Nothobranchius furzeri: one gene and its partner. The protein of the gene in region 1 interacts with the protein of each later gene in a biochemical or structural test. Links are inferred from orthologs where the notes say so. Each region holds a gene or a part of one and is shown on either strand. Other genes may lie near its edges.

What was found.
Region 2: the proteins of ran (region 1) and rangrf form a complex in vitro, tested with the Homo sapiens proteins (2 studies listed by BioGRID). The link is inferred for Nothobranchius furzeri from reciprocal best matches to the Homo sapiens genes RAN and RANGRF.

Annotation. Positions count from the first base shown.
Region 1 is NC_091741.1:91,736,214-91,742,483, forward strand, and holds the start of ran (GTP-binding nuclear protein Ran), read left to right. Parts: upstream 1-2,739; 5' UTR 2,740-3,606; intron 3,607-4,099; exon of another isoform or gene 4,100-4,318; intron 4,319-4,441; 5' UTR 4,442-4,454; coding exon 4,455-4,499; intron 4,500-4,637; coding exon 4,638-4,722; intron 4,723-5,664; coding exon 5,665-5,790; intron 5,791-5,886; coding exon 5,887-6,074; intron 6,075-6,192; coding exon 6,193-6,270. Other genes in the region: ndufs8b (NADH:ubiquinone oxidoreductase core subunit S8b), read left to right, coding at 795-967, 1,223-1,351, 1,474-1,605. UniProt on the Homo sapiens protein: GTPase involved in nucleocytoplasmic transport, participating both to the import and the export from the nucleus of proteins and RNAs. Switches between a cytoplasmic GDP- and a nuclear GTP-bound state by nucleotide exchange and GTP hydrolysis.
Region 2 is NC_091748.1:46,572,958-46,578,697, reverse strand, and holds rangrf (ran guanine nucleotide release factor), read left to right. Parts: upstream 1-2,086; 5' UTR 2,087-2,182; exon of another isoform or gene 2,183-2,190; intron 2,191-2,309; 5' UTR 2,310-2,313; coding exon 2,314-2,898; 3' UTR 2,899-3,465; downstream 3,466-5,740. UniProt on the Homo sapiens protein: May regulate the intracellular trafficking of RAN. Promotes guanine nucleotide release from RAN and inhibits binding of new GTP by preventing the binding of the RAN guanine nucleotide exchange factor RCC1.

The sequences.
Region 1 (6,270 bases):
CTCTTGCTGGGTAGGTTCGCGGCCGAATGTGAAGCGGCTGGGATGAGGATCAGCACCTCCAAATCTGAGACCATGGTTCTCGACCGGAAAAGGGTGGCTTGCCACCTCCGGGTCGGGGGAGAGGTCCTACCTCAAGTGGAGGAGTATAAGTATCTCGGGGTCTTGTTCACGAGTGAGGGTAGGAGGGATCGGGAGATCGACAGGCGGATTGGTTCGGCGTCTGCAGTGATGCGGACGCTGAGCCGATCTGTCGTGGGGAAGAAGGAGCTGAGCCAGAAAGCCAGGCTCTCGATTTACCGGTCGATCTACGTCCCAATCCTCACCTATGGTCATGAGCTTTGGGTAATGACCGAAAGAACGAGATCGCGGATACAAGCGGCCGAAATGAGTTTCCTCCGTAGGGTGGCCGGGCTCAGCCTTAGAGATAGGGTGAGGAGCTCGGACATTCGGGAGGGACTCGGAGTAGAACCGATGCTCCTCCGGATCGAAAGGAGCCAGTTGAGGTGGTTTGGGCATCTGGTCAGGATGCCTCCTGGACGCCTCCCTGGGGAGGTGTTTCGGGCATGTCCTGCCGGCAGAAGGCCCCCGGGTCGACCCAGGACACGTTGGAGAAGTTACATCTCCAATCTGGTCCGGGAACGCCTTGGGGTCCTGCCGGAGGAGCTGGTGGACAAGGCCGGGGAGAGGACGGCCTGGAGCTCCCTAGTTGGGATGCTGCCCCCGCGACCCGGACCCGGATAAGCGGAGGAAGACGAGACGAGATCTCTGATTGATTCTTTGACATGTTCCTTCAGGTTTGGCCATGACCATGAGTTACCTGTTTCGTGAACCTGCCACCATCAACTACCCGTTTGAGAAGGGCCCGCTGTCGCCACGCTTCCGTGGAGAACACGCCCTCCGCCGCTACCCCAGCGGAGAAGAGCGCTGCATCGCCTGTAAGCTGTGTGAGGCCATCTGCCCAGCTCAGGTGAGCAGAAGCATAGTTGTTGTACGGTCAGGAAAATATTGTCCAAAACATTGTAGTGTATGAGAAAAAGGACGTTTGCAGACTTTGATCATTTGAAAGAAACATGTTTGTTTATAATATTAAAGAACAGAAGAAAAGTCCACTCCAGTAAATGCTCTCCAACACAGAGATATAAATGTTTCCATTAGTGAAACGTTCCTAAATTTCCCCCAAACACCAGGATATTTAGTCTGAACTCCCCGTGTCCATCCCCAGGCCATCACCATTGAAGCCGAGACTCGAGCTGATGGCAGCAGGAGAACTACCCGCTACGACATCGACATGACCAAGTGCATCTATTGTGGTTTCTGCCAGGAAGCCTGTCCTGTTGATGCTATTGTGGAGGTGAGAAAAGAGAAAATGTCATCAAACAAAAAGCAACACTTCTTCCACAAAAAAGAATCGCTGCTTACCTTTTCCTATCCAGTATTTGCTGTTTGATATTTTTCTCTCAACCTTCTCCTCAGGGTCCAAACTTTGAGTTTTCTACAGAAACGCACGAGGAGCTTCTTTACAACAAGGAAAAGCTGCTCAACAACGGAGACCGATGGGAGCCTGAGATAGCAGCCAATATACAGGCAGACTATTTGTACAGATAAACCACTTCTTGTAAAAACAAACCATTTTGGCATCATGCTTATGTACATTATAGAAATAGCTACATGTTGTGGAGTTAAAATGCTCATTTTGAAGCAAGCCCAGTAATCATACATTAACTGGCCATAAACAAAAATAAACAAATCTAACAAAAGTTGTTCTAAAAGCTTTTTTATAGGCACACCTTCACTGTTGAGCTTTTTCTGTAAATCATAAAACTTAACTGAGTAACTTAAATTTTCATCTTGTATTTATGACTGGGGGGGGGGGGTGGCTCTGTTGGTTAATCCTTTATTAGAAAAATAACATCTTAAATCATTTAGATCCTGTTGTTGTCAGGAATCAGTCTTGCTGCTTCCCATCTAACTGAGGTTTATATCCTCAGTAATGCGTGTCTCTCTGAGCTAAACGGCTGTTTAGTCTGGTTACATTGGTTAGTCCTTATAATGTGTTTCTGGAAATCATTTCACTATTCCCTCGAGTTCTACTTAGTAAGCATTTTTGCAAAATTTTCTTTATCTTTCGTTATTTTAGATATATGGCAGTTTTTAACCTAATGATGGTCTCATGCGGTAATGATTTGACCTGTCTCCAACTGACTCGACTATTCCTTATCCACAGAATGTTTTCTACTCAGTGGATCAGCCAGGGTTAAATACTACAGCTCTTTTGCCATTGGCTAGAACAGGTTGGGAGCTTTCTTGTTGGTCAGGCACTGTTTGGCTTGTTTTGTTGTAGGATTGGGTTAGTTTGAACTGTTCATGTGTTGAATTCATTTGTTTTTACTCACTGATATTTACAGACACATTAAAACATTTTTTATTGTTTTTAAGTTGAACATTTCAATGTAATGCTTCTCCAGAACAACTGAGGGTAATTAAATAAACCATATTTTAAACCTAGGCTGGTGTTAGATTAGTTGGAGAATTGGGAGTGAAGCATACCTGCAGCTTCTGATTTCAACCTCAACAGAATTGTTTTGACCAGTTTGAAGTGTATTTTTATATAAAGGATATAAGTAATTACTATTTTATTTAGCTTTCTGAATGGACTGAAACATTCAACAGGATTGATGAGCTAACAGCTAGTTTAAGTGCAATCACAACTTGAAAAATGTCATAGCAGTTTAATAATGTAATTTAAAAAGAGTACAAATTAGTTTTAATTCTCTCTGCTTCTTTTGTGCCTCATCAACAGTCATAACATGTTTTTCAGGAAAATTCTTCAAGCTTGTTAGATCTGTTTTATTTAACTGCATGATCTAATATAAAACACAGGCCCAGAATCATTTGAACCTATTACTTGGTCCCATTTCTGTCAGCTCTGGTTTGCAGTTTCCACTAAGGTATGAACTACGGGTGAAATTATACAAATTGATTATGTATTTTTAAACCAGATGAGTTTTAAAGGCCACTCTTTAACCCTGCGTGTTAACTTTGCTACAGGAACAAACAATGGAAGAGCCGGGGTTAAAGCATGGACATAAACACAGAAATGTCTATAGAGTTAAGTAACACATATCATCGGGCATCTGCCTCCCTTCATTACTCCGTAATCTTTAGAGAGCCTGAAAGGGGTTCCTGAAGTAGAGAAGTACAGAAAGACACTGGTGTCTGGGAAAGGCTCCTCCTGTCAAAACCTCCTTTTAGTGCAAATGTCAAATTTATGATTTATAACCCCGAAGGTCCTTGGAAGTTTTCAGAAAAGGGCAGAAACCTTTGAACAACAAAAACTAGCTGGCTTCTTATCGGGCCCATATGTCTTGATCAACACTTTAAAAACATGATATATACGGTTTAATCTCTAGAAGTGTTGCTTTGAGAACAAAGCAGCGGAGTGCGCATCGTGAAGGTATATCAGACGGATGCTGATTCATGTTCTATATTTTATGCGTTTTTGGCGCTGCGGAGGCCACGTGACCAGGGCGGAAAGTGACTCATAGTCCACGCTGAATCTGCCGCGAACGCAGCCATTTACTCTTTCCTCTCTTCGCAGTGACACCGGTGAGTCGCTAGTTTCCTCTTCAATTGAGGGCCTTCCTAAATGTCAAGTTTGGATTGTTTTTAAGTCACTAAGAATGAAACAAAACTTTTTGGGTTATTTTCTTCTTTTGGGTTAAGGTCGTTTTGCATGTGCAGCCTTAACAGCAGTTGAGGGGGAAAGGCCGTCGCATTTTTTGTGCTACCAGCTAACGGGGAAGAATGGCTTCCATGCTGTGCTAGCTGTGAGGCTAGCGAGCACAGCAATGCTCCATTTCACGGCTTTGTTCTGGGATATTTGTTCCTATTACTCTTATTTGTGTATATTTGCCAGGGAGTTTTCACAATTTTTTCTTGTTCGCAATTAACGTTATTTACGGAAGGCGTCTTGTTTAGACCAGAAATTGACGGCAACATGGAACGCATTAGCTTCTGTGACTGTCTGATTGTTCCAGTCGAACCTGAAAAAGTGCGCTCAGGCATCATATGGCGCACTAAACTAACGCCTGTTAGCTTGAAGGCTAGTTGGTAACCGCCAGTGCTGAGGCTTTTGGGGGGCACGGTAGCTTTGTTTTACTTTATATTTTGGCACACCGGAGAGCAGTTAGAGGCTGTTTGTTGATGCGTTAGCAAGCTTTCATAAATTATAACGTCGCATTTGAACATGTCGGAACGTTAGCTTGGATAGAACATGCTAGAAGTTATCCCTTAGCTGTAAACTCGTCTGTACAGAATGGTGCGTGTTCAAAGCCCCGTGTGAACAATATTCCCAGAATGCCAAATTGAGTTATTGAGAATCTTTAACTTAAATCAACGTATAGATAACACTAACGGTAGATTCCCGCCTTGTTTGTTTCAGAATATTTGGAACCATGGCTGACTCTATGGGACAGTGTGTACCTGTGGCGGTGTTCAAGGTAAGAATCTACTTCTTAAGAATGATGTTAAGTATGATCTAATTATGGCGCGTGAGGGCAAAAATGTGTGCGTTTTAGCTGAGGTAACTGGTGTACCAGCACAAACCGGTCAGTAGATAACTGGTCTGTTCTTCACAGCTGGTGTTGGTCGGAGATGGAGGCACGGGAAAAACAACTTTTGTGAAGAGACACATTACAGGAGAGTTTGAGAAGAAGTATGTTGGTGAGTAACCTGAGAAAGTTAAATGTAAACTGTACAAGACTAACCCAGTGTTTGTTTTTACCAAATTAGGTTTGCCACTAATGTTTAGAACATCACATTTACAGAAAATATTGTAAAATCGCTGCATCACAAGTTTATGACACAGACGTGTAAAATGCACAGTTCTGGTCTTCCTGTGAAATTAGTGTTTGTTGAAATTACTTCATAAAACAAGTGGTTTTTATTATTCTTGTAGTTGAAAGATAAACACAACTATTTCATGTCCATGTTATTTAAAACCATTCTCTTATCAAGTCTATGAATAATAGGCCAAATAAGAATGACTGTCCTCAGTAATCCCAAAGAGTGCAAAAATGCAGAAATTCTAAGTACTAGTTACTCCATATAGCTAGCTATAAATGACTTCCAGCATCAGTCACATAACTGATTGTAGTAGATGGAAAATCAAGCAATACCAACCTTTTTATATATTAGTTTAACAAACTTGGTGTCATTCTGCAATGTCTGAAATTCTACAACTAACAGCTGCTTTGGGTTGGTGATGTTTTTAAATGGAAAACGGTAAAACAATGAGTCAAACATTATTTTTTGTGAAACTATACAGGGTTTAAACTTGTAGATAACATCTTTGTCCTAATTTATATTGAAAAGAATTGAATGGGAGAGAAGGGAGATCCTGGATGAATACTGTTCCCGGTATTATAAATATATTAACATGTCAAACATTCAACATAAAGATGATGAATAATGTGTACTTTATTGATCCCCTTGGGGAAAATCATTCTGTTTGATTCATTCATGAGAAGCATTAAGCTACCATTTCTATGCCACCTGGGATCTGTTTTCTAGTTTATAACTTGTATCATAATTCTAGGATTAAAGTTCATTTGACCCTCTCTGTGAGTTTAGATTAATTTCTTGATCTCCTGCATCTTTTTTTAGCTACTCTAGGAGTAGAAGTGCATCCCCTGATGTTCCACACCAACAGAGGACCCATCAAGTATAACGTTTGGGACACAGCTGGTCAGGAGAAGTTTGGAGGGCTGAGAGATGGCTACTACATTCAAGGTGCTTCTTCAATCTTTAATCATGATACCAGCAGCTGGATGCATTTAGTGTCACCTTTCTTCTTCATTTGATCAAATGTACCCGCTCCTCCTACAGCTCAGTGTGCTATCATCATGTTTGATGTCACCTCTCGAGTCACCTACAAGAACGTGCCCAACTGGCACCGTGACTTGGTCCGCGTCTGTGAGAACATTCCCATTGTCCTCTGTGGCAACAAGGTAGACATCAAAGACAGAAAAGTCAAAGCCAAAAGCATCGTGTTTCATCGCAAGAAGAACCTGCAGGTAAAGGCAGCTTTCTAACGAGTTTGTGCTCTACGTTGTTGTGCGAATGTTTTTGCAAATTAATAACGTTTTAGCTTCATTTGGATTAAAGTATTTGTTTTGACGGCTCTGCCCCCAGTACTACGATATTTCTGCCAAAAGTAACTACAACTTTGAGAAGCCTTTCCTGTGGTTAGCAAGGAAGCTGATCGGCGAC
Region 2 (5,740 bases), on another chromosome or scaffold:
TGTGTACTGCAGACTTTTACGGGCCAAATTTTATAGCCAATATCTAGACATTTTCCACCTTATTTTCAGGGTAAAATGTCACTAATAACATTGGTTGATGCACAACATTTCTGAAGCTGAATCAGTTTTTGAAATGTGAATTTAACTATCTGTTAAATCTTAACTTTGTGCACTTCTCAATGCTAAACTCAGACACCTAAATAAAGTTAATTCTCTGTATTTATTATGCAGATGTTATTAGTGAACATAAAAATGCATTTAAATAACATTTTGCAACAGCATCGTGCTGCTCGAAGATGTGACTGACTTTAAATCACCTTCACTGTGAACAAATATCAGCCGATGCTGACATATAAAAACTGGTAAGTATCAGCTAACTATATCATTCAATCAATATATCAGTCTATGCCTAGTTCTGAAACATATGAATTTGCCAACATTTTAGCCCTTCAATAATCAGAAAAATGCAACCTATGCAACTCAGAATAATGTAACTATTTTTTTATTGATAGTTCTTCAGACAGAGAACAGACTCCTGTTCACTGAATGCAAAAGGAAATGTCATCACAGCCTGCTGGGCAAAACTTTCTACCAAGCAGATGTGAAAACCACACTGCTCTTCTAAAGAGACATCCATGAGTTTGGGTTTGGGTGCTTTGAGTGCCAATGAAGCGAAGCAAACACACACACACACACACACACACACACACACACACACACACACACACACACACACACACACACACACACACACACACACACACACACACACACACCTCAATAAAATGCCTCTGTGACACTGAGCAAAAAAAAACATGCAATCCTAACAGATGTGTATGCATCAGGGGGATGAGCGTTTACTCATGCACATCCCCCATTTCTCACTAACAAGACGACTTATACCATTGAATCCAGTTAAGCCTGACACTGTGGTTTTCTCAGTGTCCTTGCTCTGGAGCTGCGTTTGGAAAAAGAGCCTTTCTCCAGCCAAAAGTGGAGAGGAGAGACCAGCAAGGGACAGATCTGAAGTAGTGAAGAGACAGAAAAGAGGAAAACCCCAGTCTGACCTGTTGAGATTTGGACAAGGAAGTTCAACAACTTGACCTATTTAAAGGATGGGACTTTAAAGACACAAACCACAGAATTAAATGTAATCTATTTATAAACTTTTGTCACACGAAAAACAAACACTTAATGACAAATGACAACTTAAAGCAAAAAAGAAGCAGCATAGATTCATGATAAGACAGGAAACACAAATGTTAATTTGATAAACATTCATGTGATAATAAAGCATTTTAGACCTGAAAATAGCTTTTTAATTGGAAACTGATTCAAGCAATACAGCAGTTAGTAAAAACGAATAAATCACTGCATTTCACCTAGCTGAATGAGCTAATGTCTAATCGAAGCTTTAAACGCGGATTGTTGCGGTTATCTACAACACACACATCTCATAAATGTACAACACAATAATAATTAGAGTAAAACACGGGTCAGAATAAACTATGCTATTCAGTAACCCAAATAAAACAGGCCTTTCACTCACCCAACCAGGCTAAACTATGCTAAGCTAAAGATGCTAACGTGACTACCGGTGACTACCTACCTGCTGTTTGTAACAAGATCCACCGATAAACTCCTCAGCACAGAGCCTCGGCAACACGTGCAGATATGAGTCAGGTTACAGTGACTTTACAGATTCTTCCAGTTCATTTTAAAGGTAGTCCCAGACGCCGAGACACTGTTCTCATATTTGGATGCTAGCGGTCCTTCTTGTCTAGATCAGCTGACCAGGAAGTCAACGAAAACAGCTGGAGAACAGACTGATGCAGATGTTTCACATGAGACAATATTCTTCTATTTTGTTTCCTTAAATTTTTAAATAATCAAAAAATAAATAAGGGAAATATTTTAAAAATAAAATATTTATTATTTTAATAATGTATAGGTGTATAATAACAACAAAATTATGAGTATGATAATGAAACAGTTATTAATATTTACAACAGAAAATAAATTAAATAAAATTCTTTATAATAAATTAGATTTAAACAAAACAAAAGGTACAGGTCTGTAGCTCTTGTCCTCCTCGTCTGTAGGTGGCGGTAGAGCGCCTGTTATACGTGTCACAGGAACTACTGCATATTGAGAAGCACACGCTAACTTAACGAACACTGTTGTAAGTTGGTATGTTTATCTTTTTCGCATTTACACTTACAATTTACCGATTTATAGTTTTGTAAACCAGTGCTGTTTTACGTGTATGTGCATTCTCCAGCAGTCATCGTGTTTGTTGCTGTTTTCAGGAAGATGCAGAGCACAGTCGGAGGAGGCTGTGCTTCTCTGCAGGCTCGCCCTCTGTTTGGGGGAGCGCTGTCAGCGGTCATACCTCCTCTAGCCACGGACATCAGCGAGCTGAGGGAGATTCCTGACAACCAGGAGGTGTTCGCCCACCCCCACACGGACCAGAGCCTGATCGTGGAGTTAGTGGAGTACCAGGCTCAGGTGACCGATCAGAATGCAGCCAGGTACCACTTTGAGGACATAGCGGGCTGCAACAAAGCTTTGGAGCCCGGTGCGTTTGAAGTGTCCGGTCTGGTGGCCCTACCTAAACCCGAGCTGGCCCTGGCAGAGTGCAGTTGTGCTTGGATGCTAACAGGGACACAGCGTGTATCAAAGTTCAACGAAGAGGCGAGGAATACAGTGACCATTCATTTGGGTGTGTTCCGTCTGCCGCAGTTCTCCACAGAGGTTCTGATTACTTTTAATGACCCACAGAGCATCCGCCCTGACAGCAGCAGCGCCTCTGCTGTGGAGACGCACATGTGGACTCTGCAGGACTTCCGGAGCCTTCTACAGACGCTGACTCTGCACGACCCTGGTCTGTTCGGCTAGAGCGTCTCAGTGTTTATAGACCTTCAACACTCAGCCCCAATAAGACTATGGGGTTTTCTAAGAGGTTTGCCACAACAAAAGGCAGGAGGAAGTCTTCATGCCCCAAATACATGTTCTCCTTTGGAAATGAAAAAGAGCCACAAGCAAATATATTATGTAGTCATAGTCTTGTTATGCTTTTACATGCTTATTGGACTTTACAGCACGTGTCTCCAGTCTCCATCTGCTGCCATCCTGCATCTTTTAGATGTTTTTTTGCACCAACACACCTGATTTGAATTAGGTGGCGATTAACAGGCTTCTGCAGAAGAACATGCTGATGAGGTCATTATAAGAGCAGAAAAACAACCCAAACCTGCTGACCCGAGACTGATATTGCTCCATACAGCTCAGAGATTAGTGTAAGGTAATAAAGTTTATTTTATGGGATTCTGTTTTTGTGAAACAACAGAAAAAAACTTTGTTCCTACTTGACAAATATCAGATGTACTTAAATGTGTACAAAGTTCTAACCACATTTCTAGGTTTTATATTTAAAAGTTGTCTAAATAAATCACAAATGAATTATTTTGCCTGCGTTTCTAAGGTCTGAAGTCTGCGTCTCAGGTGGGACAGGCCCTGGAGAAGCGTTGGTTGGCCATTTCCTGCTTGCTAAATTATTTAACTGGGGGTGGGGGGTCACCTCATTGGAGCAAAAATTGCATCTTTCAAACTAATTTTTGGCATTTTTAGAGGGAAAACCTTATTTTTACATTTTGTTTCCATCTCTTCTGTTCACTCAGGTATTTCTTTAGTTATATTCATGGAGAAGCTAGCAGCCTTTTTTCTTACAAACTTAAAAAGCCTTTTAGTGACAGCCTGCCGGAGGTGGAAAGTAATGAATTACATTTACTCATGTTACTGTAATTGAATAGCTTTTTGAATATTTATACTTTTTGAGTCGTTTTTAAAATCTGTACTTTTACTTGAGTAAGTTTTTAAAAAATAATTGTAATTCGCTACATTTTAAATCATATCTGTTACTGAGTAAAAATAAATTGTAGGCTTGATGAATTAAAACTATTACGTGTAGCAGCGTCGGAACAGAAAGAGACACCTGCATGAGCACCGCATCTAAACCGTGGGGGTACACTTTTAATAATGAGGACAAACAGCCATTTTTACCGCAGTTTTGCTCAAAAACATCAGTTCAGTCCCTGTGATCCACTCGCTGTTTACGTCCTCTCTCCCTCCTCTCCTGTGGGTTGGAACCAGGGGTGTGTCCGAATCATCGACATATATACTGGACAATTCCTTTCCATAGGCTCCAATAACAAGTTTTTGGTCTAAAATGGGAGGTGGCCACCACCGCCATTTTGACCGTGTCACAGGTTCCGTCCAGCCCAGACAATTCCATAAAAGGGAAGAGAGGAGGAGCTAAGGGTGGGGCTGTAAGGCTGGGATCAACTGACGACACCCGGTCGAACTAGCTACAAGCTAACCTGAAGCTAACCCAAAGCTAACGCGGAGGTGGGAGCCGAGCTAACGGATGTAGCCACCTAGCTACAACCGGAGCTAACTCTGTGGAACACCCATCGACCGCATGGAGTTCAGGTGGAGGTTTGCGGCGCTTTTTCATGAGACGTACCTTTCTGTGAATAAAAAATATTAAATCGGTAAGTTTATAAGTTATTTCCGTAATGAAAATATATTTTGCTTTGAGCAAGTTTTCACTATTTATCACGTACTGTATTTTCAGGACTATTAAGTTGCTCCTGAGTCGCACCAGCCATTAAATGTATAATGAAGAAAAAAACATAAGTCGTATTTTGGGGGGAAATTTTATTTTTCTTACAAAATCTGAGACCAAGCATTTCACATTGCAAGACAAGTACCGGTAACAATAACCGAATAATGCGCCGCAGCAGCGCGCCACGGTCTCCAGCAGAGGAAGGCAGTGTTTGAAACCTTCCCAGTGGGACAGGGGAACTCATTCTTGGGTCAGAGCCAGCCCGCAGCAGCACGGTGTAGCCTACATGTTTTGTTATATAAGTCGCTCCGTAGTAGCAGGACTGGCCAGACTATGAAAAAAAGTGCGATTTATAGTCCGGAAAATGCAGTAGTTATTAGTATTTGAGATAAATTAGCAGGCTAAATACATTTCATATATTTCCAAAACGTAATCCTTGTTTCTATCTTGTACAGCCAAGTAGCCTTTATTCTGGACTCAGTACAATTCACCAAAAGTAAAGAGACATTATACAGATGAAGTAAGTGTAACCTAGGCAACACTGGAGCTCTGCCGCTCCAGCATCACACAGGGATTCACAACGACACAGGTGGAGAGCGAGGGTGCAAAACCAGAGGGACAGAGACACCAGAGAGTAGAAGTTTGTCTGCAACCTCTTTTATTAACTAAATAAAAGCCCCGTCTAAAAATATACAACTAAAAAGTTTGAGTCCATAAAAGCAGATTAAAACATGTCCTTCAAAAAGACCCCAAAAGATAGTTGGGCTCCTCCCAGATCCACAACGTCACGTGGAGGGAATTTCCAGGATGGGAAAGGCGGCGTCCCGCCTTCAGCGTGCGACTCCAGCAGTCTCTGGTCTCGCTCTCAGCAGGCACTTGTCTCAGGCGTGATCTCCCGGGGGCTCTCGCCGCTCCTCCCTGACAAGGACAGAACACTGGGGCAGAACTTTTGTCTGTGACAGTGCAATCTCTTTCTCGTAGGATCGGCCCATACGGCGCGTCACCCAGCATACAACAGAGGAAGCCGTTTACTCACGGATGCAGGCAGTAGTGATGTTACCTGTGACACGCAGGATTCGAAGCTTGTATCACCAAAACGAACCACCGCAGAGC